Mus musculus: one gene and its partner. The protein of the gene in region 1 interacts with the protein of each later gene in a pairwise test. Links are inferred from orthologs where the notes say so. Each region holds a gene or a part of one and is shown on either strand. Other genes may lie near its edges.

Region 1 (3,352 bases):
GGGCTACACCCAAGTTTAGACAAATAATTTTCAGTGTTTTGGAGGAGCACTTTTTAAACTAAATATTACACATAGTTCACCAAGAACTGTGGACTATTACAAGGTTCTTCTTTAAGCTTTGGCAAAAGGTACTAGGCTCCATTATGTCCATCATGTCTAACTGAAAATTCCCATGTATATATAAAAGCATCTTATCTACTGACAACCATTTTGAGTTATAAATTCTAAACTAAATTTTATGATGTCCATTCATATAAATACTTAAAAAGTAAAATGCAAAGAATAAATACTAGTTTACACAATGCAACATTTTTATTTCCTTAAAGAAATAACTCATCTATTCTAGTTAAGATTTCTAAATCTTGATTACAGTCACGTTCTTTTCTACTAAAAAAGGGGGAGACCTAAGCTATGAAAAACAAGGAATATTTTAAAGTAAAAATTGTTTATAGAATTCATTATAGATGTCCTTAAAGTGTAAAAACAGGGTGAAATAAAAAATAAAAAAAACAACTGCAGGGAATTTGTTTATTGAGCATGAACGTTAACATGTCTAAATAAGGTATTCACTTTGAATTTTCTTTGTCCTGTCACTGGACATAATGGAAAATATTGCACAGAACTCAAGCATGGAAATAATAATTAACAAAATATCTAAGCAACAAGTAACTGGTTTACATTTTAAAAATTAATCCAAACAAAATAATTTGAAGTGCTTCTCTGATTTAGAAGTCTTAAAATGTCATCTGATGTTTCATTTGATATTTTTCTTTCTTTTTTTTTTCCTTTTTTTTTTTTTTTTTTTTTTACAAATTGACACTGTACAAAGAGTTCAAATGGCCAGTAAAACTACTGCCTTAAACTGTTGGCTTTAAGTAACAGAGGTATAATTTGAGTTCACATCAGTACGTTCTAAGTGGTAACAGTACAAGCACAGAGCTTTGCTAGTATCGAGAACCTGTTCTGGCTCTCTCTTTTCTGAGGACAGCTATCTGGAAAGCCTCTAAACCTGCCACTATATCCTGCAAAAGTGACAATGACAAAAGTTGGCCTGCTCATTGCCCGCCGCTTACCATCGTTAACACTGGGCTAAACAGAAAGTGAAAATTCAGTCAACAGTAAGCTGTGCAGTGGTTAGCTCTGGACCTAGGCAGTTTGATAATGTTGATAACTATTCAGTCAGGTTCTCAAAAGAAAAACAGTTCCTCCAAATTAGACCAAAATCCTACACTGAAAGAAAAAAAATGCTATGAATGAACTGAAGATTGCAGTTTACCTGGTTCCTAGATGGCTGTGAACTACACACAACTTAGAATAGTGGACAACATATAACCTAGTTTGTATTCTTAGAGTAAATTGATAGGTCTATGAGCAATGGCCTTTCTAAAGTTTTATTTGATATTTAAAATTTTGTGAGTGAATTATTATGTTGCCATATTAAGCCAATTCAATTAATAATCTTCAAGAAGTACTAACTTCAGAAATGCTTTGAGACTGGAGAATGAGAATGGAGAATGACAGACTCTACAGGTCTGAAAAGCAGGCTTTCAGTGCAAGCTTGCCTCCAAACTTGGAATATATACTATTCATTATCTAAAATTCTCAGTTCCTCTTAAAATAGAAGACTCCTGCATGTTTAGCCATCCCATCTCATTCAAGATTAGTCTTAAGGGACTGACTGCACTGTTGCTAAACATGGTGTTATTTCTCACATACACCGTTTACACTATACATCAATTTTTTACTCCTTTAAGAGTATTAAAATAACAAATATGGTCCTTAAAAGTCTTCCACCTTAAGTTAAATATAAAATAAGGTAGTTTTATTAATTTCTTGCTAATTAATTGACTTAAAATCTATTTATCAAATAAAAAATAGTAAACTTTAAGTTTTACCCAGAAAGCAGATAACATTCTGATCTGTTCCTAGTGTCTACTTAAAATGGTTCATCAACAGTTAGTTCAGCTCGTGAGATTTTCCTTAGACCAGCACTGCTGCTGCCCTACAGGAAAAGCACATCACCACCTACACAAATGATGCTCAACCGGGATCCTCTTGAGATGTGAGAAGTTCTTTAGGAAAACCTAATAGCTTGATTAATAATCACCAGCACTGAAAATTTCACTGAAAAACTGATAAATAAGAAATATAGTTTTACTGCACTTTTGCCTATTTTTAATGCAAAAACAGGAAGATAAGATTTCCAAGTAGAATATGTTAAAAACCAAGAACCAGAACACTGGTGAATTTCATTCATTTTCTGACACCAACATTTTCCAGGATTATAACAGTCATGTAGGTTTATAGAATTTGAAATTTATAAATTAAAGTATAGAATTCAACATAACAGGGAAAAGATAAAAATACAGCTAGAGGTGTCCAAATTTCAAACAAAATTCCAGGTAAGTATGGCTGCTGCTTTCTTCCAGTCATTTTTTCCCATAAAATATTGGCGGTGTCATAAGGAATCTCCTGTGCTTCCCATTACCGAGGCCTTCTGAGAAAACAATCCATTGCCTTTGTAAATTCAGCTCAGCTGAAGTGTCGCGCCAGGCGGGCAGATCTATAGTCAGCACGAAGTTGTACAAAGGAGTGGAGTATGTTCTTGTCCAGATTGGCAAGTTGTTCTCCCGAGCAGACTTGTTTTAAATTATCTGGAGCCACGACCAGGAGATTGCAAAGTGCATGCAGAGTATCAAAAAGATGTAATACCATTGGAATCTGAATGGAGAGAGGGAAGGAAGCACTGAACCACAGCAGTTTATTTTCCTATGCGCTCTGCAAAGTCTTCTCACATCTTGCTAGTCAGAACTTAATAACATGGGGAAGTTGCCTCCTATGTTAGAATTTCTTAAAGCTTCTGAAGAGCTAAAACTCAAAGGTTTCCATAGCTAAAAGTTTTAACCATTAAAAAGATTCATATTGGGCTAGAGAGAGATGGCTCAGTGATTAAGAGCAATGACTGCTCTTCTGAAGGTCCTGAGTTCAATTCCCAGCAACCACATGGTGGCTCACAACCATCCGTAATGAGATCTGACACCCTCTTCTGGTGTCTGAAGACAGCTACCGTGTACTTACACATAATAAGTAAATAAATCTTTGGGCCGGAGAAAGCGGGGCTGAAGCGAGTTCAATTCCCAGCAACCACATGATGGCTCAGAAACATCTGTACAGCTACAGTGTACTCATATACATAAAATAAATAAATCTTTAAACAAAAGATTCATATTACTCAGTTTTTCAATAATTTGTAACTTGGTACACTAGAACTAATTATCTTTAGTATAACACCTTTAAAAATAATTTAAACAAGCTGGGCGTGGTGGCGCACACCTTTAATTCTAGCACTCGG
Region 2 (3,828 bases), on another chromosome or scaffold:
TGGCACATTTCAGGGTTGTAGAAAGACAAATGATGGTGTGTCTCAGAAGATGTAGACACAGCTGTCGTCAAGTGTGCTGCAACATATTAAATGGCAGCGATTTAAATTGAAATAGTTATCTTTTTGCATTCATATGAAAGATGTGGAACATCAGGTGACTAAAAAGAGATGGCCTTTTTTTTTCTCTCTTTCAAATGTATACTCTGGTTCCAAAATTATTTATTTCTAGTTATCCTTATTTGGTAAAATGCAAATTTTGAAAACCAGATCTAAGGTCCATCCGTTTAGTTAGGAATGTGTCTGATGCTGGGAAAGGAGCAGTGATTTTAACCCTTCAAATGAACTGACAAGCAGTGCACTCTCCACATTTGTGGGAAGCAGGAGGACAGGTCGTGAGTGACACCTGGCCATGACCCAGGGAGGAGTGAAGAAGCAGGGTGCTTAGTGCTTTTTCCAAAGAGAAATCTTGAATTACTTTTCAAAAATATTTTTTCCCAGTCCTATTTTTTCCTAGAACCTTTATCATTATGTGTGTTAGATTTTGTCAGCAGACTTTTCTTTTTTATATATATATATTTTTTATTAGGTATTTTCCTCATTTACATTTCCAATGCTATCCCAAACGTCCCCTATACCCACCCCCACTCCCCTACCCACCCACTCCCACTTTTTGGCCCTGGTGTTCCCCTGTACTGGGGCATGGCCAATGGGCCTCTCTTTCCAGTGATGGCCAACTAGACCATCTTTTGATACATATGCAGCTAGAGACAAGAGCTCTGGGGTACTGGTTAGCTCATATTTTTGTTCTACCTATAGGGTTGCAGATCCCTTTAGCTCCTTGGGTACTTTCTCTAGCTCCTCCATTGGGGGCCCTGTGATCCATCCAATAGCTGACTGTGAGCATCCACTTCTGTGTTTGCTAGACCCCGGCATAGTCTCACAAGAGACAGCTATATCAGGGTCCTTTCAGCAAAGTCTTGCTAGTGTATCAAAAATATTTTTATTAGGACAATAGATATTTTTTCTCTTGAACATGTTCCACAATAATTTGGTTTACTTTTTGTTTGTTTGTTTGTTTGTTTTTCGAGACAGGGTTTCTCTGTGTAGCCCTGGCTGTCCTGGAACTCACTCTGTAGACCAGGCTGGCCTCGAACTCAGAAATCTGCCTGTCTCTGCCTCCCAAGTGCTAGGATTAAAGGCATGTACCACCACGCCGGGCTTTGGTTTACTTTTTAATATATGTAGTGTGTGTGTGTGTGTGTGTGTGTGTGTGTGTGTGTGTGCCTGTGGCATGAGAGTACACATGTGTATATGTCGAGGCTCTCCACCTTGATTTTAATGAGACAGGGAGACAGAGTCTTTTGCTGAACTTGAAACTCACTATTCAGCAAGACAGTCTGGCTAGCAAAACCCAGTGGCTCTTCATGCCTGCCCCCACTGGCTTAGCAAGCCCTGCAGGGAAAGGACTTGGATGTATGCTTACGTTGTCTTTAGACAGAAACTAGAACCAATGTCCCATATCCCAGAGGAGGAGAGGATCCTGCTGGACTCAACAGTTGTGTACAGAGCTCTCCTAGGTGTGTGTGTGTGGGGGTGGGGGGAGACCAGCAAGCTTAGTATTTTCAGTGTAATCTGATTTGTTCATTTACATCGGTATTGTAGTTAATGTTAGAATAACGTCTTTCTCCAGAGAGAGCTGGAGTTCATGATGGGGGAGATACAGTCTCTTAGAAATGCCACTGGAAGAGAGAGAAGGTGGAAGCCTTGTGATCTGAGCCCTCCCAGATGCTGATGTGGATGCTGATGCAGATGTTCCAGGACAGCGCATTGAAGTGTGAGGGAGGGGAGGCTGGCCCAGGACTAAGAAATGATCCTGGGAGTAGAAGATCAGAAGCTACAGGGCAGACTTTCTCAGAGAAACGGGGTCTGCTAGGCATTGTGTTTTAGGATGGGGAAATGAGAGGAGTTGAGAGATGGTTGAACACATTTGGAGGTGGGGAAGTTAGAGTGGAAGCAGAGAAAGGCTGGGGAGGATGAAGGCTGGTGAGAATGTCTCAAAAGGCTGAATAAACACAGGGAAGATCTGAAGAGGCTCAGCAGGGTCTGATTTTGAAGGGTGCTGGTCCCAAAACTTCTCTGCTAATTGCAAAAAGTAGAAGGAAAACATTTAAAAGCTGGCTTAAGGAAGACAAAGCTGTTAGTCTTTCACTGCTCAACAGAGACTGTCAATATCTGATCACCAGATCTGGCCAAGGGCCTGTGTGCTGTAGCCTTAATCTCTAAAGAGTCTTTACAGGCTAGATGGTTGGGCCTTTGGGAGATGGGGGTCCAGTGGGGACCCCAGCCTATCCTCCCTCCCCTTTGCTTGTGGGACATGAGGATTTAGTCTACCTCATTTTCCTGCCATGATATTCTACCCCACCATAGTTAACCAGGTCCCTCCCAAGCCAGGAGCCTAAAGGAACCTTAAATCTTCATGGATTATCTCAAGTGTTGTGTTAAGTGATGGGAAGTAGACTAACGTGGAGCAAGCACTGATAAATCAGAAAGGGTACTCCACTTGGGTCCCCAAGGTCTAAACTTGCAAATAAGATAGGAGGGGGAAGGGTGGTGACTGAATACTGCTGTGTGGATTTTAGGCACAAAGGCTTTTGACTGCTGTTCCAATGCACTGGTAATGTTACACACTGTCACACTGTCATTGTGCTGATGCAGGACTCAGAGGCTAACATACCCACTGGGTCACCGGATTTACTCAGGTGAGAACCACTTAGAGAGGGAGGTCTGACTGGAGTTGACAGTGCATTGGCAGGCTGTCCTGCGGATCCCTGTCCAGCCTGCATCGTCCCGCCCATCAGTAATGGCTGGAGATGAAGCTGAGCGCAGAGCCTCACCTGGCACTGCCTCTGGTACATCTTCAGTTCCTGCAGGAGCTTCTGGTTTTCATCTTGTAACTTGTTCCTGCTCAGCGCGATTTCACTCACGGCCGACTTTAACTTCTCGATAATGAACTCATCTCTTTGAGTGGCTTCACAGCCAGGATCCGACTCACACACCAGGCGAGGGATCTCAGAGCTGCTGTCCTCTGCGCACTGCTTTTTCCCGTTTAGCTGAGTTTGGTAATTTTGTGCCTGTTTCTGAGAAATATGACAACCAGGTAAATGGAGTGAGGAATAGCATATTTAAGCTTCCACAGAGGCAAAGAATAAAATAATTAGTAAAGATCTTTTAGTATGGAGTTTGGCTTATACAGTCCAGGTTTCTGATCTCAACTTCAGATGATGTGGAGAGAATATGTATCTGTGTAAGCCTGGAGCAAAGATATAGAGAAGGGAAGGGGTGTGCAGGAGGAGAGGTCTTATTAATCAATAAAGAAAATCTAGAAGCTATAAAAAAAGAAAAATATTAACTAAATCACATACTAGTCAAAAAATGCCTCTATGGTAAAGAAATAAAAACCAGAAACAGATCGAGGGAAAAATAGTTGCCAACAGAATTGTTTTTTAGCAATTCTCCCTTTGTAAACCCTCTACATAGCAATAGGAAAAGCAAGTGGCACAGAGCCAAATGTGTGGAACATGGGGGAATCATGCTCGGAGGAGGAAGTGAAAAATGCTAACATGTACATAGGACATGCTGAGCCTTACAGGTGAGTGGGGCATGTAAAACAAACCACACACACACACACACACACACACACACACACACACACACACCACATACTTTGTTTTGGTTTGGTTTTGTTTTGAGTCTGAACCCTGTTATACAGTGCAGGCTGGCCTCAAACCCATGGCCTTCCTGCGTGTGACCTCCACAAGTGCAGGGATT

Evidence for each region.
Region 2: the proteins of Exoc5 (region 1) and Deup1 interact in binary tests that used the Homo sapiens proteins (3 or more experiments, as listed by UniProt). The two-hybrid records come from large-scale screens. The link is inferred for Mus musculus from reciprocal best matches to the Homo sapiens genes EXOC5 and DEUP1.

The regions. Positions count from the first base shown.
Region 1 is NC_000080.6:49,011,629-49,014,980, forward strand, and holds the end of Exoc5 (exocyst complex component 5), read right to left. Parts: intron 2,722-3,352; coding exon 2,533-2,721; 3' UTR 516-2,532; downstream 1-515. UniProt on the Homo sapiens protein: Component of the exocyst complex involved in the docking of exocytic vesicles with fusion sites on the plasma membrane.
Region 2 is NC_000075.6:15,596,802-15,600,629, forward strand, and holds part of Deup1 (deuterosome assembly protein 1), read right to left. Parts: intron 3,138-3,828; coding exon 2,895-3,137; intron 1-2,894. UniProt on the Homo sapiens protein: Key structural component of the deuterosome, a structure that promotes de novo centriole amplification in multiciliated cells.